3 linked regions of the Struthio camelus genome follow. The protein of the gene in region 1 interacts with the protein of each later gene in a pairwise test. Links are inferred from orthologs where the notes say so. Each region holds a gene or a part of one and is shown in the gene's direction. Other genes may lie near its edges.

The links. The genes of interacting proteins can lie anywhere in the genome.
Region 2: the proteins of LRP2 (region 1) and MAPK8IP2 interact in a two-hybrid assay, tested with the Homo sapiens proteins (2 studies listed by BioGRID). The link is inferred for Struthio camelus from reciprocal best matches to the Homo sapiens genes LRP2 and MAPK8IP2.
Region 3: the proteins of LRP2 (region 1) and MAPK8IP1 interact in a two-hybrid assay, tested with the Homo sapiens proteins (2 studies listed by BioGRID). The link is inferred for Struthio camelus from reciprocal best matches to the Homo sapiens genes LRP2 and MAPK8IP1.

What each region holds. Positions count from the first base shown.
Region 1 is NC_090947.1:23,838,016-23,845,184, forward strand, and holds the start of LRP2 (low-density lipoprotein receptor-related protein 2), read left to right. Parts: upstream 1-4,157; 5' UTR 4,158-4,221; intron 4,222-4,429; 5' UTR 4,430-4,495; intron 4,496-4,893; 5' UTR 4,894-5,128; intron 5,129-5,198; 5' UTR 5,199-5,323; intron 5,324-5,701; 5' UTR 5,702-5,792; intron 5,793-7,169. UniProt on the Homo sapiens protein: Multiligand endocytic receptor. Acts together with CUBN to mediate endocytosis of high-density lipoproteins. Mediates receptor-mediated uptake of polybasic drugs such as aprotinin, aminoglycosides and polymyxin B.
Region 2 is NC_090942.1:659,612-666,483, reverse strand, and holds the start of MAPK8IP2 (C-Jun-amino-terminal kinase-interacting protein 2), read left to right. Parts: upstream 1-3,860; 5' UTR 3,861-3,933; coding exon 3,934-3,998; intron 3,999-6,872. UniProt on the Homo sapiens protein: The JNK-interacting protein (JIP) group of scaffold proteins selectively mediates JNK signaling by aggregating specific components of the MAPK cascade to form a functional JNK signaling module.
Region 3 is NC_090946.1:40,385,045-40,392,615, reverse strand, and holds the start of MAPK8IP1 (C-Jun-amino-terminal kinase-interacting protein 1), read left to right. Parts: upstream 1-4,559; 5' UTR 4,560-4,586; coding exon 4,587-4,699; intron 4,700-7,571. UniProt on the Homo sapiens protein: The JNK-interacting protein (JIP) group of scaffold proteins selectively mediates JNK signaling by aggregating specific components of the MAPK cascade to form a functional JNK signaling module. Required for JNK activation in response to excitotoxic stress.

The sequences.
Region 1 (7,169 bases):
GGTATTCAGGTTTTTAGAATAAAGCAGTGATGGGAATTCTACATGCTTATTTGATAGTGGCACCCAAAGGTCTAATTCGGATGAAGAGTTAATTGGATGGAACACTGTACGAATATAATTAGGCTCAAAGATGGTTAGTTTAATGAAAAGCATTGCTTGAAATATCCTTATGCCCTCTATATTTAGAAAAAGTGCAACATGGGCAGTAATGATAGCAGATTCTTTAGCCTGAATTTGAAAATATGACCCATACAGAAGCACCTTTTGCTATGAAAAGTTATCTGCTTTTCTGTAACATATATGGTTGAGGGTCCTGGCTGCAATTGCCTCCCTTCAGAAATTGGTCAGATGCTACAGATTTTTAAATCTCCAAAATAATATTTCTCTTTCGTAGACTTAAGATATTCTATAATATGGGAGATCTGTTATTTTTATGTTTTTAACCATTAAACAAATCCCAGAGAAAACGATATATTGAATAACTTTCTTCAAATTTGATCTGATTATGATACTGTTAAAACCTAAAAGTCACACTAAAACTGAATGCTGTCCACAAATCCCTAGTCTTTCACTGTTTACCTCAGGACGAATGTGAGAAGGTGACAAGTGTCTTTAAGGTACTTTTTACCCTTCTGTAATCCTGGTTTATGGGGATTTAAACATCTCTGGCATAATAAGTAGTCAACAGACTGCTCTATCTCCTATATAGTTGTCCAGGGATCACTGGGAACTAGGAAAATATAGACACTATAGTGTTGTACCTCTCTCTCTGCCTGGTATGCACTCTAGTTGTAGTCTGCAGTAGGATCTGCTCTGGTGACCTTGACTTGTGTTCGGTGTGCGTGAGGATTTTATAGAGGGAAGTCAGCTCTAACCAAGTGCTTCATAATTGTGACTCTGACTTTATGTCTTGTTCTGCAACTTTATCAATCTGTGAGTTTAGATAAGAAGTAGCTGTTGTACTATATAACAAGAGTAATAGGAACTACTACACTTAACAATTACATTATCTTTTTCTTTGCAATCCTGTTTGCTGTCTCTTGCAACTTAATCCTTAAAGAAGCAAGTTAATGTCTGCAAGGAGATATTAGGAAAAAAAGGAAGAAATTGGGAAGGAGGAAGGAAAAGGAAATGGCAGTTAAATCCTGATTCATGTTGTGATAAGTGAGAGTATAGTAACAGAAATAAAGGGAAGACCGTCATGTACTTTAAGAGAACAGTAAATGGCTTTTGGTGCTGTGGCTCTAAGAGCAAAATTTAGCATTAATGTGCTAAATTATCAAATTTCATCAAAATTATCATCAAAATTATCATCAAAAATAACTTGGTGCAGAAATGGAAAAGTGCTGGCGATAACAGATTATATAATTTCTTTTGAATCTCTACTGATTATAGTTAATACTTCAGTTTTTGAAACAGTTATAATCTGATGACGTTTGGAAAAGCTGAATAATAAGTAAAACAGAAAAAAGTTTCCTGTATTTTGAATGTGTGTTGTAAGGAGTTTTATTGAAGCTAGTTTACCTGAATTGATTTAAAAGATGAAAAAGTTCCTCTAAAGCTAATGTATTACTGGATTTGTGAGAGCTGTCAAAGCCCAAACAAGATGAAAGCAACAGTGATTATTGGCAATGAGCTGCATAAAGGAACAGATATGACTAAATCGTATTACAAGGTGGCATGGTGGGATGCCCATGTTAATTATTGAGGATGTACATGTCTGTCTCGAATTCTCACTAGGTCTCTTTGCTGTATATGGAGAGAGGTCTCTAATTCCGCAACATGGCTCAGCAGAACTTTTCTCTGTTAGTCTTTACTTCTGCAGTTCTTAGCGTCTTCAGTGGAACCAAATGCTTTTTTTCTGTTTGCCTGCAGGATGATGACAGCTTTTTAAATGAGAGCTTTACCATTGCTATACGTGCCTTGCTCTTCAGATTGACAAACCTTGAAGACCATTCAGAAATGGCAGCTGATAAAAATTCAGGAGTTTGATTGCCTGAAAGGTTGACTTGAAAAGTAGCTGTTGACTACAATGACTTCTTGCTTACTGCTAGGACAACTAAATATATGCTTTCTAAAGTCATCCACGGTTTTTATCACCTTTGCTTGAAAAGCACCTTATTTTCTTCCTGCAATAGATCAAGGCATCTGATGTTTCACTTCGGTAATGGTTAAGGGAAAGTGATGACTTACTGCTGATAAATGTCAGCTGAAACTGCTGAACTTCAGAGTTTTCCCTTGTTAGTCTAACAGAACCAGAGTTTAACCTTTTGTCCCAAAACTTAGATTTTTTTTTTAATCCAGAAGAAAACTTTTTAACTGTGACTAGCGGATTTCATCTGAACATTTTATGAACTGAAGACATACTTATTGGCATGTACTTGATCATCCATCAGCTTTTTGCAGGTAGGTGGCAACAGTAATATATCAGGACTGCTGACTCTTCACTTCCTTTCTCCATTGTGTAATAATTAACTGGGTATTCAGCTTAATAATTCAAAGGTCTAAGGTTTGAGGCTTGTTCTCTTAATTATTTCTAGTGAGTATTTTGACTAAAACGCTACAATATGAATAAAATATAACTTTCAGCTTAAAATGAGGGTTCAAGCTCATGGCCTTCAAATTAATAAAATGGCTCTTCTGTTGTACCTAATCAGCCACAAAGGATCGTGAGGATTTTCATTAGTATCTCTTAAACTGTTTGACATGGAGAGAGACAGCTCTAGCTTTTCTGGAAAGGTTAAATATTAAACAGTCATTCCTAAAGAACAAGAGGAGTTTTTAATATCGAGGTGAATATGGCATGTAACTTCCTCTTTACTTCTAATGGCTTGTGACTCTGACTTTACAATGGTGCTTAAACACAATTGTTTATCTTAAAGAAAAAAGCAATGAACCACCCCTCAAAGCCTTCTAAGAGAGCAGTAATTACAATGGGTATGTTGTACAGCTCTGTTTGTATACATTGTTTCAAACTTGCAGACAACTGTTCCAGTGGAAATGTAGGTAAAATGGGTAAAGAATGTGTTCCAGTTTCTTGACTATGCACTTCAGCTTTCAGTGTAGTGCAGCTGCACTAGAAACTGAAGTGTTATGGATCTGAAGCTTCTTAAGTTAAGCACCATAAAAGTAACTTTCCTGTTGCTTATAATTTAAGATCTTATCCTGAGCAATGTTTATCACCCTGTCTTCAAAAGAGTAAAACAGCAGGAGGTACCCTTTACCGTGATAGGGTCTTTAGAGGTAGCCTAATCAGGAAAATCTGAAATGCTTAAACTGTGCAGTATATAGTGATAGTAACTTCTATACGCAAGAAAGAGCGATGAGAAGGAGGAGGAATTCAGTTAAATATCTTACAAAATACAAAACAAGCCATTAAGCTGTGTTTTGATGTTCAGCTTTTATCTCACAGTGCTCTATTTTGTAAAGTAGCTATAAAAATAACGTTGTGTGCTCTCCTGATGATAGCTCAGCTAGGGTTCAATCTGATGAAACGTTGGCATGAACAGTAAAGTCAATTTAAGAATGCTGCACCCCTACCGCTGATTGCAGCGCTCTCAGGCATTTGTGGGACTGTGCTCTAAGTCAGGTACAGCAGTCGGCTCTTTGTTGAGGACCTGCAAAGAGGGGGACAAAAGGGAGGGTAAATTGCAATGCTTCAGCTTAGAGGGAAGATGGATAAAGGGAGCAGGGTGGACTTCTGAAGCCAGTTACCTTGCTTGCCAAAGTCTGTGCTCACTGAACTGTCCTCTATCTCATTCCTGTGAACAGTGCCTCAAGGAGGAGAGATTTAAAAAAAAAAAATTTTTTTTCCCAATTATTGTAATCCTTTTGACCTCATGTGTTCATGAGTTTGGTCTCTTCCTGTCAAAGTAGTTTTGCAGGTTGGCTGAATCAGGTACTATTTTCAAAGCTAACACTTCGAGAATTGTTCCTTAGTGATCCCTTAAGAATTGCTAAAATGTGACTTATCTCAAGCTACTCTACTTTCTTCATTCTTATTTTCTCCATTTAATTGAAAATTAAACTAAACAAACATTCATACTGTAAATATCTCAATATACAGCTAAGTGGTTGGTATGCACCAGGTATAGGGGTATAGGATATATTTTTGTCATGCACTAAATATCTTTCTTCTCAGAAAGACTTTGTTTCATCGGACTGTTGCTGTCTAGTCATCTTCTTCAACTAGCGTGAAGACTTGCTCACAAAGTTCATGCAGTAAGACCATATTTTCAGCTTTTCTATTAAGTAGGCAGTGGTTAATCTCTAGCTCTCTGAAATTCATATCAAAACTATAAGATTCTATTATCTGCAAACCCTGTGCTGCTAAACCATGTTCTCTTTTCCTTAATGTCATTATCATGTTTTTGGCCTGGAATTCAAATTAATAAGCCACTAATCTGAAGGATTATTTATCTTTTCTCAGGTGCTTTGGAAGGACTACTGTTGTGATCTCTGGAGCATTTGATTCTGGCTCTTAGAGGAACAGGAGGTAACAGTTCTTAGCATGAGGGAGTCCTACTTTGAAAGATGTTTAGTCTGAACACAGCTGAAATTCACTACTAATATGGTTGTTTGGCTTCTGCCCCACACCAAGGACAATATGACAGACAGTAGATACTGTTGTCTCTTTGGTAATTAACTCTTTGAATTCTGTGGAAAGGGAGAATGAAAGTAACTTGTGGGACAGGCTAACTTGAATAATATATTAAGGAATAGTAATCTTCTCTCTTACTAGGTTTGCTCAGTGTTATCTCTTATAACATCATGTTTGGATTTGCTTATAACAGTTGCCACAATGAATGATATACTGTTTTCCTGTCCCTGCCTTTTATACTTCATATTTTTCTCTCAGAAGAGGTTTGGTAATTTTCTCTTGGATTTTTCTAGCTCTCATCTGTGAAGTACCTCTGATCTTCAGCTAGTTTTATGCATAGAAGGTGATGCACAGAGGGATTACGGTTGTTAAAATATTTGCAATGCTGCACAGGCTTGGATGACAGAAGGAAAGTTGTTGGAAAAACAGCAAGATGACAAGGACTTCAGTCTCGCTTTTTCTTCAGCATAGCTGAATCATCGCGTGTAAAGGATGTTGGAAGTTATTCCAATCCCTTCTGTTTCCCTTGTGAGTATCCTAACAAGTTTTAGACAACAAGTCGTTTGGAAATGCTTCTTTACTTCTCATTTCTCTTCAGCTACAAATCCCATATGTTGCCGCCTTGTAGGGGAGCGCATACACTGAAGGGCCAGGGCACTGGAGCAAAATAGAGATGCTCCAGTCCTCACACAGGCAGTGCAAAAGAAGTCTACTTGCAGAAAAGTAAGTACTAAGAACTTTGGTAACCAGAGATGTAGCTGGGGCAAGACTTCCCTGTGCTGGGTTTGTGACTATGTCTCCAGCATGGGGCACAGGGACATGCAAGCTGGACGAGACAGTGCCAACCAAAGGGATAGTGGCAGGGGCAGATTTGGAGTTGTTTAATATCTCTTCCCTTCTTTCCACCTTCCAGACAGGGACACCCTCTCATATCCATACTATTATTGTTAAACTCCATCACAGGCCCATTGCTGGGAGTGAGGGGAAAGCACAGGGGGTGTTTGGAAGTTCATTTTGTGAGCCTCTCTCTGCTAATCTCACTTTTTAAGTGGCAGTTACCAAAACAGTGCATAGTTCTCACGTGCTGCTTTTGAGTTCCAGGGCACTGTGATCCAATTCCAGGTTAAAAGACAGAAGTGGTCATGTACTGCTGAGCAGGAGACAGTGAGGAAACCTCTCACCATGATGCCAGGTGCATTGTGTAGTCCTCACTTTGCGATTTCTGTTCTGGCCTGATTCACTTCTTTTGGGTTTAATGTTTCTCACGTTCACGTGGACTGGGGATCCACCTTGGATCCAGTGTGTTTGTCTTCTAGAAATGTCTCTGAAGATGAGGTTGCGTTAGGTGCTTGGGAGCCATACCAGCCAAGGCCCTCTTTTTCTTAGTTTGAGGTTAGATGGATTTTTTAAAATCCTTGAAAAAATATTTCCCTGACAAATAACTGCCATTGTTTTTAACACTGTGAAATGTGATGTGGCTAATACGAGAAGCTTGGTGAGCTCAGTGCTGTTTTCTACTTTTCTCCTCCTTCTGTTAAGGAGTTGAAATCAATACTGGCTCTCTACCTAAATTCCATCCAAGCGCTCTAAAACATGACCTTCCTATTAATGGAAACTCCTGCTCACGCTACGTGCACCTAGAGAGATTAAGTTGTGAAGTCCCAATATGCATCAGTACTGTGGCCCCCGTGCATACCAAGGAACTATGTCTGCTCCCTCTGAAATCTGATGGCTTTGATGCAAACTCAGTTGTGCCTCAGGTGAAGGTAAAAAGAAAATGCCTTAAGAGTCCCTCCTTGCAATAAATAGCCCTATAGGAAAGGAGGTCTCTAACACACACGTATATATTGTAGGTTGCTCTAAAGCAGAGATCTGTTAAATAAATAGGACCCTTTATGTGGTAGGATAGCAGAGATGGATGAAATCCAAAGAATGAACTGTTGCTGCTGGGGACTACTACCCAGGCAGAGACTGGGTCATTTTTACTTTAGATTTGTATGTGTTGTCATACCAGTATTCTCTCAAAACACGAGCACATCTGTAGGTAGCCTTGCTTTAGTATGACTTCAAAATAATAATAATAATAGAAGAAAGCTTGCCATGCTAAAGGCATAGGATTTAATGATGAAACTTCCATGTGAAGCTGGAAACAGATTGTAACAAAAAAAAATGTTTTCTATTTGGAAAAACCTGGGTTTATCCAAGGACAGACTGACCACAAGATTACTGAATGCCAGTGGCAATAACAGCTTTACTAGTTAATGCACTGGGCAGATCCTCAGCCCCTGCAAACTGTCCTAGCCCTGAGAAAGTTCAAAAGAGACAAATTTACATTCAGGTGCATATCTGAATTTATTTATTCAAGTGAACATATCTTGTTCTTTTATTAGCCATCACCTTTTTGTCTCTGTCCAGTAATACATCAACTGTGGTGTTTCTATCTGGCTGTTAAGAATTGGCTGAGTTTTGATGCTGTAAATTAGAACTGAACCCTGGTCAAAAATCAAGCCTTTAATTTTTAACTTTGTTGGTTAGCAGGCATCTTTTAATGTGTAAGCAACGTGGCCGT
Region 2 (6,872 bases), on another chromosome or scaffold:
CCCCCCCCCCACATGGTGGCTCAGGCCCTGCAGTGCAGCCTCTCTGCAGGATACGGTGTGCACAACGGGGCGGCATTGCAGCCTCCGGTCAGGCCCAAGGGCAGCGGACCGAGCGGGGCCCCGCCGGTCCAAGCCCTCTGCCCTGGAGCTGCCAGGGCCTGCGGCAAGCAGTCGGAGAGGGGGATCCGCACAACAGGTCCCTGGGGCCCAGCACAGTGCCCTGGCCAGGCTGGCCCGGCGGTCCCACGGGAGCAGCTGCAGCAATCCTGCTGTGAGCCAGTTCCCAAGCACGGGCCGGGCAGCTGCAGAGAGGGGCGGGTGCACCCAGGCCCACCACCCCTGGGCCCCACTGCCTGTGGACCCCCAGTGCCACCTGCCCGCCAGCGCGCAGACTCCCGTGCTGCATCCTGAATCCCTTCTGCCTTCAGATCCCCCCTGCTGTATCCTGCTCACCCACTGCCTCCAGTTCCTGTATGTCTTCTTACAGCCCCCTTGACACCCACTGCCTCTGGTGCCCCCACCGCTTACTGGGCCTCCCATTGCATCCTGTTCCCCCATGCACGGACCCCCCCACACCCCACACACACTGACTCTGGGGACCTGCTGTTCCCCAGATCCCCCTACTGCCTTCTGTGCCCCATACTATATAGGACCCCCCCCACTGCCACTGGGCCCACCACCTTTGGGTCTCCCCAATGCACAGACCCCCTGTGCCTCTGTGTCCCCACTGTTTTCCAGCCCCCACTGCATTTGGCCTCCCCCACTGCCTCCTGGACTCCCACTGCCTCCTGGCCCCTCTCACTGCACCCTGCACCCACAGTGCGCCAGACACCCTCCACTTTCTGACCCCCACTATACCCTGCCCCCACTGCACAGACACCCCCCCCCAATGCCTCGGGGTCCTGCAGGGCCCCATATGGCTCCTCCACATCCCCAGACTCCCCCACCTGTCTTGATCCCTGCAAGGCAAACTGACCCCCGGGCCCAGCTGGCCCAGATGCCCCTGCCTTGTAGTGGGTCTACAGCCTTGGGCAGGTCCCAGCATCAACCCCAGCATCAGCCTTGGGCATCAGCCCCCAGCATCAGCCCTGACATCAGTCCGGCATCAGCCCCGGCATCAGCCCCCGACATCAGCCCCCAACATCAGCCTTGACATCAGTCCGGCATCAGCCCCCGACATCAGCCCTGACATCAGTCCGGCATCAGGCCCTGGCGTCAGCCCCAGCATCAGCCCCCGACAGCAGTCCCCAACATCAGCCCTGACATCAGTCTGGCATCAGCCCCTGGCACCAGCCCGCAATCAGCCCCCGAGATTAGCCTGTGATCAGCCCCCGACATTAGCCCCTGACGTCAGCCCCGAGATCAGCCCCAGGATTAGCCCCCGGCAGCAGCCCCCGAGAGCAGCCCCTGAGAACAGCCCTGCATTAGCCCCTGACAGCAGCCCCCGAGAACAGCCCGGTACCAGCCCCCGGGATCAGCCCGGTACCAGCCCCTGGGATCAGCCCTGCATCAGCCCCCGGGAGCAGCCCCCGAGAGCGGCCCGGAGCACCAGCCCCCGGGAGCAGCCCCGGGCCGGGCCGGCAGCGGCGGCGCCGGGACAGCTCCGGGCTTCAGCACCGGGGCGGGGACAGCTCCGCGCGGGGCCCTCGGCCGCCTCCCGCCCCGGCCCGGCCCGGCCCGGGGCTGCGCAGCGCGGCGCCTCCCTGCACAGCCTGCATGGCCCTATACAGCCTGCATGGCCCTGTACAACCTGCATGGCCCTATACAGCCTGCATGGCCCTGTACAGTCCTGCATGGCCCTATACAGTCCTGCATGGCCCCATACGGCCTGCATGGTCCTGTACAGTCCTGCATGGTCCTATACAGCCTGCATGGTCCTGTACAGTCCTGTATGGTCCTATACAGCCTGCATGGCCCTATATAGTCCTGCATGGCCCCATACAGTCCTGCATGGTCCTATACAGCCTGCATGGCCCCATACAGACCTGTATGGTCCTATACAGCCTGCATGGCTCTATACAGTTCTGCATGGCCCCATACAGACTGCATGGTCCTATACAGCCTACATGGCCCCATACAGTCCTGCATGGTCCCATACAGCCTGTATGGTCCTAATCAGCCCTGCATGGCTTTATATAGCCTCCTGCATGGTCCTGTGCAGCCCTGCATCTCCCTATGCAGTCCTGCGCCTCCCTATACGGCCCTACACCTCCATATGCAGCACTGTGCCTCCCTATGCAGCACTGCACTTTGCTATACAGCCCTATGTAGCCCCCTGCATGGCCCTGTGGTGCCCTGCACCTCCCTATATGACCCTGCACCTCCCTGTACAGCCCCCTGCACAGCTCCATGCAGCCCTGCACAGTCCTGTACAGCTTTGCACCGCCCTATATAGCCCTCCTGGCATGGTCCCTACACAGCCTTACACTGCCCTATACAACCCTTCACCTACTTACACAGTCCTGCACAATCCTGCACCTCACTATACATCTCTGCACCTCCCCTGTGCAGGCCCCTACGTAGCCCTGTGCCCCCCCTACGCAGCCCCTGCACAGCCCTCTGCATTTCCCCGCAGAGCAGCCCTGTGCAGCCTCCTGTCCCTCCTTATACAGCCCCTGTGGCCCTGAACACACCCCTGCTCTCCATACTGCCTCCTGCTCTCCTCCCTATACAGCCCCCTCCCCTCTCCCTCTACATCCCCCCACTCCTCCCTGTCCCTCTCCCTATACAACCCCCTCTCCCCTCCATAGACAGCCCTCCGTTCCTCCCTGCTCTCCTCCCTATATGGCTCTCTCCCTTCCCTATACAGCCCTCTTTCCCCTCCCTATACATCCCCCCTTCTCTCCATAGACAGCCCCCTCTCCTTTCCCTATACCACTCGCTCTCCCCTCCTTATACTTACCTTTCTCCCCACCCTATACAGTCCCCCCCTCCATAGACAGCCTCCCAGTCCTCCCTGCTCTTCCTCCCTTTACAACCCCTCTTTTCCCTATACATCCCCCACTTCCCTCCCTATACACTTCTGCCTGTTCTCCTCCCTATACATCCCCCTCTTCCTTCCCTATATAGCCCCCCTCCATAGACAGCCCCTCTCCCCTCCCCATACAGCCCCTTCTCCCCTCTCCATACATCCCCCTCTCCCCTCCCCCTACATCCTCCTTCCCCTCCCCATACATCCCCCTCCCCTCCCCATACATCCTTCCCATACATCCCGTTCCCTCCCTATACATCCCCCGTTCCCTCCCCATACATCCCCCCTCCTCTCCTCATACATCCTCCCCATACATCCCCTGTTCCCTCCCCATACATCCCCCCTCCCCTCTCCACACATCCTCCCCATACATCCCCCCTCTCCCCTTCCCCATACATCCCCCTCCCCCATACATCCTTCCCATACATCCCCCCGTTCCCTCCCCATACATCCCCCTCCCCTCCCCATACATCCTTCCCATACACCCCCTGTTCCCTCCCTATACAACCCCCCCGTTCCCTCCCCATACATCCCCCTCTCCCCTCCCCATATATCCCCCCTCCTCTCCTCATACATCCTCCCCATACATCCCCCCTCCCCTCTCCACACATCCTCCCCCTCCATCCCCCCTCTCCCCTTCCCCGTACGTCCCCCCTCCCCTCCCCATACAGCCCCCTATCCCCACCCCCCCGCCCCACAGCCGCCCTCCCCCCGCAGCCCCCTCTCCCCCCGAGGCGGCCCCCGCCCCTCCCGCACCGCCCCAGCTCCTCCCTCGCTATAAGGCTCCCAGCGCGCCGCCCGCCCCGGCCCCGGCCCCCCGCGCACCCCGCTCCGCTCCGCGCCGCCGCCCCCGCCGCTCCCGCCGCCGCCGCCGCCCCGGTGCCCGCGCGGCCCCGCCCGCAGCGCGGCCCCGCGCAGCCCCGCGCAGCTCCGCAGTCCGGCGCAGCCCCGGCCGGGAGAAGATGGCGGATCGCGCCGAGATGTTCTCGCTCTCCACCTTCCACTCGCTCTCCCCGCCGGGCTGCAGGTGAGCCCCGGGCCCGCTTCGGTTCGGTTCGGCCCGGCCCGGTCCGGCCCCGCGCCGCGGCCGTGCGTGCGTGGGGCGGCGGGGCTGGGGCGGGGCGGCCCGGGGCCCGGCCCGGCCCGGCTCGGCCCGGTGCGGCTCGGCTCGGCCCGGTGCGGTGCGGTGCGGTGCGGTGCCGCCCGGGGCGCTGGGGCCGCGCTGCGGGCGCGGCGCTGCGCTGCGGGCTCTGCCCGGCCCGGCCCGGCTCGGCTCGGCCCGACGCGCCGCCCTTGGCGCTGGCTGCGGGCCGGGACCGGACCGGGACCGGGACCGGGGCCGCGCGGCCGGGCCGGGGGGGCCGCAGCGGGGCCGCCCGGCGCCGCCGTCCCGCAGCGGGGCCCCGCGTCCTGCGGGAAGTTTGGCTGCCGCTCTCCGTCTCCCCGTTCACCTTGGGGCCGCGGAGCCGCCGCCGCCGCCCCGCTCCGCTCCGGCCCAGCGATGCTGCTGCCGCGGGCCGGGCCGGGCCGGGCCGGTCCATCGGGGGCGCGGGGGCCCCGTCCGGGCCGTGCGCGCCGAGCGGCCCTTCCCCCGCGCGGGCGCAGCTCCCGTGGCGGCGATTAGCGCTGCAGCAGCCTCCGCCGCATCGCCCGGGCCGGGCCGAACCGGGCCGAGCCGCTCCCCGTCCGCCGGGAGCCCCGCGCCGCGGAGGGCAGAGCCGCCCGGGGTCCGACCCCTGCCCCGCCGCGTCCCCGGGGGCTGCGGGGAAGCGGCACCGGCTGGCGTCTCTTTGTCTCTCCTGACACGCGCTGCGCCTCCGTCCCTCCCGCAACGCTCCTGGGGGCTCTGCCTGTTGTTCACGCCGCAAACCAGGCCCTCCCGGGCCCGGCGGCTCTGTGCTCTCGGGGGGGCCTGGCGGTTCAGCGCGCGCTGGCGCGAGGGAAGGGGTTGCCAGCCAGGTTTGGCCTGCGATGGGAAGCCCTGTTGTTGGCGCGTGGGGAAGGAGCTTTGGCTTGGTTCGCTCTCGGCAGACGCCCCAGAGACCTGCCCGAGCTGCTCCGTCCGAGCAGGCTCGGCGCTTCCGAGGTCTAACGTGGGGAAACATGGTGCTTGCTAAAAGCAGTGGCTCCCAGGCCCCTCTCCGCCGCGGGAGGAGTGCCCGGGCCCGGGTGCAGCCTGACGCAGGTCACCTTTCCAGCAGGTCCTGCAGGAGCTGGAGGCGGCAGGGCCAAGCTGCCAGCCGGACTGGCACAGAGCGGGGAGGGTGGACGCGGCAAGGCTCTCACCCCCTAGCCCTGCTGGTGGGCTTGGCAGGGCTGGGGTGCAGCCCAGGCTGGGGGCCATGGGGTGTGTGGGGCTGGATGGGAGCCGTGCCAGCAGGGTGGGGAGGCCGGGCGGTGGCCAAGCCAGGCTGGCCCAGCATGGGGCAGCGGGGTCTCGGCAGCTGGATGGAGGGTGGGAGGTGATGGTGGTGGTGGTGGGTACCTAGGGAGGCCCTGAGGACCAGAGGAGCTGAGGTTTAGTTGGGATGCTGGACATCTTCGTTGGCTGGCTCTGACCCACATTGAGCAGGTCTCGTGGCTGCTTCCCAGGTCATCCCTGTCCCTGGGTCGTGGTGGGACCTTGCGCTGGTGTCATGGGGAGCGCGGTGGGGAGGACACAGCCTCTGCCTTTGCCATGGCTGTTCTGCTCCTTCCTGCCTCCCGCTTGGCATCTGGGCCCAGAGCAATTCCCCAGGGGCTGCGTTTTCCGGGTGGTCGCATCCTCCTCGCAGGGATCCCCTGCACAACTCTCCCCCTTCATCCCCCTGGAGGCCCTGCCCTGCTGTGTGGCACGAGGGGGATCAGAGCTGGCCCGTAGCAGGTTACCACTGAGGTTGCGGTGTCAGGTCTGGCCCGGGGATGCATCCCTGCACACTCCCAAGCTGGGCCGTACGAGGCAGCGGGGCTGGAGCCCTCGGGGGCGTGGGGGAGCTCTGGGTCGAGGAGGGGGCTGGCTCCTGCCCCCTGGGGAGTTCAAGCCCATGGAGGGCATTGCAACCCGCGACCGTGCTCTTGGCCATAGCCACATCTCATGCATCTCCTTCTGCAAACGCTTCTGCTCCTGTGGCAGTGAGTTCCACTGGCTGGAGACCCCCCGGCAGGGAAATCCTCTCCTCCTGTCCCGTAGTGATACGCTGCTTTTCCACGTCTCCTTCTGTCCTTGTGCTCTGCGAGGGACAAACAGCAGCAGCCTGGCTCCTGTTCTAGTCACATCTGTTATTCTCCTAGCCACAGACGATCGATCTTCCCTCTGGCTCGTGCAGGAGCGTTTGGCGTTTAAGGCCCCTGACACCGGCTTTGAGCAGAGCCGAGGGGCAGTGGAGGAGCCTGGTGGCAGGGCAGAGGGCAAAGGAGCAGTGACCGTTTTGCGTTGGCTACTGGACCCGCTCTGCTCCTAGCCAGGAGGAGGGCGCGGGGTGCAGGAGCTGCACCCCTGTGCCAGGAAAACTGGGTCAAATCCCTGGGGACTCCCTGGCTGCCAGTGGTCTCTGCTCCTCATGTGCCCAGGGAGCTTGCACCAAAGGCTGCAGGTCTGCACGGAGCAGGGGGTCTGCAGGCTCCTCTCCGGCGAGCAGCGCTGCGGGGGGTGCCCCCTGCTCCTGCCAGCAGAAGGGGCCTGGAGCCCCGCGTGGCAGCAGCACGGTGCTGTGCGCGCTGCGTCTTTGCTGGACCGTTCATGCCCGTCTGCAGGAATGGGCCTGAGTTGGTGCTGGCCCCCAAGACACAGCCAGGGCACAGGAAGGCCCCGTGCGCCCAGCGCCTTGCCGTGCTGCCTGCAAGGTGCAGCGCGCACCGCTGCATTCAGCCGGGCTGCGGCAGGCCAAACTGCACCCCCTGCACACTGCTTGGGGTCTCCTCG
Region 3 (7,571 bases), on another chromosome or scaffold:
CTAGCCCAGGCCTGTGGCCTCAAATGAGCTGACTGCATGTTGCAGGTCCATCAAATTGTTTTACTTGATGTCCAAGTGTTAGGTGTGACCTAACAATCTTCCCCAAGGAACAGTTCTCTGGGGTTTTGTTTAGATTTTTATTTTACTCCCCTTACAGTGAACCTACTTGGGAGGAACAGCTCATTCTCAAATTCCCACACCTTGGCCAGCCAGTGCATTCCCATTGCAGGCAGGGCAGCCTGCCTGGCTCCTCAGGGCAGCTGGATGGGGTTTCCCCTGTGCAGAGGGTTTGATGGCAGCTAGCGGGTCACAACATCAGCAGCATCCGGAGAAAAGAAGTTGGGTACTGACAGGCATGAGAGAGGCATCCAGGGCACAAACAAAAGGTTATTAATAGACTTTGCTATCCCAGATCATTCCCAGCTGCAAACATGCTGGATGCTTTTCCACAGCAGTATAGGCCACTGTGAGAGAAAACTGTCTCATGTTGTCCCTGGAAGCATTTGTCCTTTGACTGGCAGCTGCAGCGAGGGGGACTTGGGGGAAGCCATGCTGTGCTCCAGCCGTTTGTCCCTTCTTGTGCCAGGAGGCTACAGGGCTCTGGTGGGCATGAGGCGTGCTGCAGCAGTTGCCATGCAGAGCATGGCACAGCCACTGCTGCTCTGCCTCAGGTGAGGGAGCCTACCAGGGAATAAAAAGGGGGCAATGCTGAGGGATTGATTTGGTATCAGGTGCATGGCTATCAGGGCTGGGCACAGCTGTTTGATCCCAGTGCTCAAGGATTCCTTAAGGAGACTTGTCACAGTCTGTTTCACATGTTTAACATGTCCTGGGGCCTTTGATAGGGCACGTAGCTTTGGCCTGTAGACCCTGCAGCCCTCTTCCTCTGCTGACAGCTGGAGCAGAAACCTCAGTCATGGTTCTTTCTCTATTGAGAGCATGATGCACTGGGGCACAGTTGTCCCTGGGAGAAGACAGGACCCAAAGGAGGGTCACTGGGAAAGTGGACTGCTTCTACAGCAACAGGAGACTTTCTACTGGGAGAGGGTCTGCCCTGAAGTGAGAGAGGCTGCTGTGCACGTAGCAGGGAGAAAGCACCCTCTGAAGCTCCTGCCTTGACTGCCAGGGCTCCGCAGGAGCCAGAGCAGTAAAGCAGGGTTGCTTGCTCTCTGCAAGAGGTACTACTGTGCCAGGCCTGAGGAGCTGATGCGGTGTGGGCCCAGCTAAGGTAGGAGCAGGGCTGTAGCACTCTCCAGTGAGTGCCTGGTTTAGATGACTACATCCCACGAGCTGGGCCAACTAGTGACAAGCCACTAGAGGTCCTGCATAGTTTGGAAGCCAGATTTAGCCTCTGCTGTGCTGCTCTCCCTGCTGGTCTGGAAGGAAGCTATGCTTCCCAGCACAGGCATCTCACTGTTCTTGCCACAGGCAATGGGCTACTATGCACGTGAGGGGATAGGTGTGAACGGTGCTGGTGCAGCTAGGAAGGCTAAAATGAGTCTACTGCCAGCCTGGCCTGATGCCTGGACTGAGTGGGGGGCTCAGTGCGCTTCGCTTCCCAAAGCGAGGTGAGATGCATTCGTGGTGATCTGCCCGCAGGAGGCGGAGGCAGCCTTACCTGCTCCCCAAGACAGAGGTCAAACCCCACAGCCATGCCACGGATGAATTGTGTTTCAGTAGCTGAGGCTTGTGCTTTAAGATGGAGCAGTGTCAAAGCTCTCCCAGGCCCTCAGTGGAGGGCAATGAGTTGTAGGTGCTGGATGGAAGACGGCTTGTTCTGTGTATGCAAACTGTGAAGGGTACGAGTAGCACCCCTTGGGAGGCTGCCCCAAAGGTACCTGCAACGGCTGAGCTGGTGGTTACATGCCTGACTCCATGCTGGCCCAGGAGTAACATCTCTCTTGAGTTTGGCAGAAGATCAAGACTCCCAAGTGAGAGCAGGGTTCTGTGCCTTGGAGGGCTCTGCTTGCTCTTCTCTGTAGGAGCAGCTGATATCCTGGGTCTTTGCCAAGAAATTAATACTGTTGTCTCAAAGACAATTAGTTCTGTGGCTTGAGAAACAGTGATGCGACCTGTTGTGTCTTTAAAGTTTGAACGGCTGAGGCAACACTGCCCGCTGCCTGCCCACCCACTCCAGGACTGCCGTGGGCATGTGCGTATGGTAACTGGGAGTGCAGTGGGCATGAAGGGAATATTAAAAGTTCACCTATTCATTTATCGCATCAGCTTTGGGACCTAGAAATACTGATGTCCACTTCTGTGCACAGCACGCCTCTCAGTTTTATGAGATAGCCTGCAAAGCATGGGAAGGAGAGATACGGGAAAGAAACCTGCTGCTCAGGCTGGTGAAGAAAGGTAGCAGAGGGTAACGCTCTGTCACTATAAGACAGGTTTGGCTCCCCTGAGCCACAGTGGGATGCAAGAGTAGGTCTGTGTGCTCTGGAGAGAAAGCTGGGCCCTGGAGATGCACTTTTTCCCTTATGGGTATGTGGAACATGTGAAATCGGCCTTTTAAGTCCCCTTGATTGGCTTACAACCCTCCTAGGCTTTGGCGGCATGGGGGGACAGAAGACAGGGTTTGCAAGGGAGTGCAGCCTGTCCTCCCCCTGGGGCTGAGGGCTGCTACTCAGCTCTGCCCGCAGCAGCCTCCCCCTGCTCCCTCGCCCCCCCGGCCTGCCCCACTGGGTCGGGCCCCAGGGCCCCAGGAGCTCTGGACATGTCCCGGGGGCGCTGCCTCCGACTGCGGGTGCATCTGACCTGGGGGCGCTATGTCCAGCTGTGGGCACATCTGCCCTGCAGGCAAGGCCGGCGTTGCCCGGGGAGGGGTGCGGCGCGGCGCTGCCTCCAGCTGCGGCACATCTGTCCTGCAGCTGCCGCCCGGGGCCGTGGGCAGCAGCCCCCTGCGCGCCTCCCCCGCCCCGTCGGCAGGTGCATCCCTGCTCGCCGGCCCCGCCAGCAGCCCCCTCCCCTCCCTCCTTCCTTCCCTCCCTCCTTCCTTCCCTCCCTCCCTCCTTCCCTGCCTCCCTCCCTGCCTCCGCCTGCATGGAGACAGCCACAGAATGGCGGAGCGAGAGAAAGGAGCCGCATCCCCGCCCGCCTCCTCCCCCTTCCTGGGGCTGCACCTCGCCTCGCCCCCCAATTTCAGGTACCGGCCGCCTCCCCCGGGTTCCCCCCCCCCGGGGCATGGGCTGCCCCCGCCGCCCCGGGCGCCGCTCCCCGTGCAGCCGCTTCAGCCCCGCATGCACAGCTGCACCCCCCCCCGCCCCGCATCGCCCCTCGGGCCCCCCGGCGCGCCCCCAGCCCATGCACCGCCTCGGCCCCCCAGCCTCCCGCTTGGCCCCGAGCCCCCGGCCGCCCTACCTGTCTCGCCTCCTCTTCGCACATCTCTTCCTCATGAAAAAGCTTCATCTTTCTCCATCTTCAGGAAAGCCTCTTTCTAGCCCTTTCCAGGAAATCCCGGGTGCTTCCCCTTCCCCCTTCCCATCCCTGCGAAACAGGAACCCAAAGCGAGGAGGTGTGAGAGTGCCAGAATTGATCCACTCGGAAATACTGAGCACTCCCATTGATTTGGGATGCAGGGGGCTGTCTCTGGGCTGGAACCCAGCGGGGCAGCTTGCCAGGGCTCCTGATGGCCATGGCAAGGCCAGGTGTGGGCAGAGGGGCCGACCTGCGGGGCCGGGGCCTTCGGACCCACTGGTGACTCCTGAGAGCAGCTCTGGGACGGGGCTGTACTTGGTGGATGAGGGGCATCTTGGCTATCGCCTGGGCGGGCAGTGCCTGGCATTTTTGTGCTTGCTGTCGGGGGGAGGCTCAATGCTTGTAGCAGCTTTAACATCTTCAGCCATTGCTCTCTGCTCGTCTCTGGTGCCCAGGGGTGCTGCTGTGGAGTTGCTTGGGAGCTGCATGAGAAGGGGTGGTCAGTACCAGGTGATTTATGCAGTGAGATTTTGGAGGGGGAGGAGGGGAGAGCGGGTGGTCCATGCTTGGGGTGACAGCTGAACTTGTCTCTGCCTCTGCCAGGCCCCAGCCTCTGAGGCTTGGGGACCAACAGGACCCTGGAAGGAAGTAGATAAATGCAGTCAAGCTATGGCAGGTTTAGACATTTTATCTCTGAAGGTCTCTGCAGACTTTTGCTTCTGGAGACCCTTCGCTGGGTAGCTCTGTGGGCTTCAGCAGCCTCCTCCTATTGCAGTGCTGCCTGTTAGAGCTGCTGGAAGCTATTGCAACATGGCTGGATAAACCCTGCAAATTGAGCAATTAAATACTGCCTCTGGAAACGTCCACTGTGGAGAAGCAAGGCTTTGCCACAGAGCTGGGTGATAGGGGCTGAGCAGCCGAGCTCCGCTTTGGTCTGTTAAGAGTCTCGGGCTTGCCACGCGCTGCTGTCCTAGGTGCAGCATTTGTCTCCTGGGCACCTGCCCTCTCCCAAGGAAACAGCAACGCCCCAGGAAGAGAGAACAAGGTGCTGCTCCTTACTGTGACTCAGATCTTTAGAAAAGGAGCCCAGCACACTGGCATCCTTCCCCTGGGAAGAGTTGACAGTCTGTCAGGGGAGACGTCAGAGCCATGAGGAGAGCTGGGAAGTCATGGCCGGATGGCAAGATCGTCTCCAAGGCCCCGAGCTCGGCATCAGAGTCTTGAAATGGAAGGAAATAACTGTTGTGTCTCCGAGCCTGCGACAGGGTTTCAGAAACCAGAGGTAACGTTGTGGTTGTGAGTGATGTGCAAGGGTGACACCCGCCCCCCACTGTTGAAATATTGTTTGCAAGATCTGTTACCTGGTGCAGCTGGGCTTGTGCATAGCCAGCCGTCTGACTTTCCCAGGCTTTGCTTCCTTGCCGTAGCAGCTCAGCAAGTGGAGCAATCCTCCCATAGCTGGTCCCCACAGCGTTGCACTGGAGCAGGCAACTAAGAGCATGGCTCAGGGTGAAGAATCAGCCTGTGGCAGGAGGCAAAGCACTCTGTGAACCCTGTGCCTTCCCAGAGCGTGCTGTAGCCAGGATGAGGTATTTCACCTTTTTTCCCTTCTGGTATGTGTGTCTACTATTCCAGCTTCTTGCATGCCAAAATACAGGCCCAAGCATTAGAAGATCTGTTGACTTTAATCTAGAGAGGATTCTGTCCTGGCCAGCAAGGGACATGATGGACTGAGGTCCAAAGCACTGATGAGGCTGTGGGTGATGCTTTGGCAGGTCCCCATCACTGGTGACAGTTTGGCATAGTCTGAGAAGGCAATGAAGGACGTGAAGGAAGGTGAGGTGAGCCCTCCTTCAGCAGGAGAACCCTTGGAGGTGGCTTCTCTCTGCAACAAGAGCAACAGCATTTTAAGAGAGAGAAATACAAAAGTTGTTCTCACCCATCTTCCACGTTATCCTTAAGCCTCTTCGTCGGGGGTTTCGCCCAGCTGGACCGCTTAGCGTCTCTCTCTGGGAGATGGTTTCTCAGCTCCTCACTCTGCCAAGAAGCTTTGTCAGCATTTCAGGCCAGGTTTCCTGTGATGTGCTCTCCATTCCCTCTCCAGGCCAGGGGTCCTTCTGCCCTGTGGCCTGGCTGTTACCATGGTGGAGTGTAAGAGGCCATGCAGGGAGGGCTGCCATGACTGGGGCCGGGATCCAGCTGGGTGCAGGGCCCTGCAGTGCTCTGCTTGAAATCTAGGCCAGCCATGCTGCCCCTGTGCCCCCTAAGTCCAGCTCTTGGGTTGGTGCTAGCCATCAGCACTGGGGAGGAGCTGGCAGCAGTGGGGTCAGAGGGAAAATGCTTCAGCTGATCTTTTGTCAGGTATGCCATGGATAGTTGGTGTGAGAGTCATGCCTTTTGAGCAGGAGAAGAGGGTATAGGCATTCACTGGGAGCCAGGCTCTCAGCACTGGCAGCCCCGCAGTGAGCGCAGCTCCAATATAGAAGAGCTGCCCTTTAAGTGGGCTGGGTGCCAGGGTGTGGGACCTTGTGGGTCAATGGTTGATCCTTGTGTATCTGCTTCTGAGTCCCCTAATAAAAGCAGAGAGCATCCACCTGGAAAGCTTCTAGAGAAGGAAACCTTAAGGGAGATATTTGCATGGGTCACAAAAGGGGAGGAAAACTACCCACCTCCCCTGGGAGCCTGGCTGTCTATAAGAAATCACAGCCATTTTCATGGCCGTTGCTGGGGCCTTGCGAGTGAAGAAAGTCCCTGGGGGAAGGAGACCTCTCTCTGTCTCTTCAGGAAGTTGAAGGAAGCATCTTTAGGCTGAGGCAAAAATCAATCCTAGCACTATAGGCTGTTTTACCTGTCTGCTGTACACATTTGGTCTGTCTGAATAGCCTGTTCAGAGGCGATGAGCTGGGCGTTGGAGCTGGGCTACCCTTCTTTTGGTAATAGAAGACGAAAGTGCTGCCTTGCTCTGAGGGAGAGGGAGGTAGCTTCTCTTTGGTTTAAACAAAAGAGTGTCTGGCTCTTGTGATGGAGGGAAAAACCCAGGCCAGCCAAACGTAGGAAAGTACTTTATTTTGCTCTAACACTGGGTGCAGGACTTCTGCACACTGCTGCCTCCAAGCAGAGTGCCAGAGTAGCATCCGGACAGCTGGGGTTGTAGGAGCCTCCGATCCATAATGCCGTGTTGCCCTGGCCAAATCCCAGCTCGGGAACACTGCTGGGTGCCTGTCGGCCGCCCTGCAGCGCCCGGGCAGCATCGGTTCCCAGCATGCGCTACGGAGACAAGACCCAAACGGCACCGAACGCTCTCCCGCGGCTGTTCGCCAGCTCCTGCCCCAGCCTGGGCTGCACGAAAGCAGGTGGGGTGAGCAGAAAGGCAGAAACGGCTCTTGTTAAGGTGCAATATTTAACCCTAGCTTTGCTCCGTGGGGCTCCTGCCACGGTGATGGGGTGAGGGCCCGTGGCGCGGCGTCGCTGGCAGACCACGGGGCCGGGGCCAGGAGCAGCCTGCAGGGCAGCGGTCTGCACCAGGCCCCCGCTGCCCGCGCACCGGGCTCAGCCCCCACCGGCGCCCTCAGCCAGCGCGGACGGCCGTGGCTCTTAAACCAGGCGATGGCGATGTCCGTGATGAAATGAACGGAGCAAAAAGGGGTGATTTGCCGCCGCTGAGCGCGGCGGGGAGCTGGGTGCTGCGTCCCCTGCCTGCCGCCACCAGCCCCCAGCTCCGTAGGTCCACGAGCATCACGCTCTCCCCGGGGGATTCGGTTGCTATGGCCATTAAACAGCGCTGTCTGAGCAGCTGCTGGCTGGCGGTAGATACGCTGTGAGCGGTGGCCGCCGGCCCCACGGTGCCCCGGCCCCACAGCGCCCCGGCTGGCTCCCGCGCTGCCTCTCGGCCCCTTCCCTGGCCCCGATGCAGCCGGGCGCTCACCACGTCCCGAGGGCCGTCCCCAGCTGTGGACACCTCGGGTGGCCTTGGCTCCCCCCGTGCCCGGCCCCATCTCCGCTGCCGCCCCTGTCCCCCCCAGCCCTTCCCGCTGGAAGGGCCCGGGCTCCCCCGGCGCCGGTTGCCCCCTGCAACAGGCTGCTCCCCGGGGCACGGCGCGCGGACAGCGCCTCGCGCTCCTCCTGCTGCTGCTGCTGCTGCTCCTCGCGGGGCT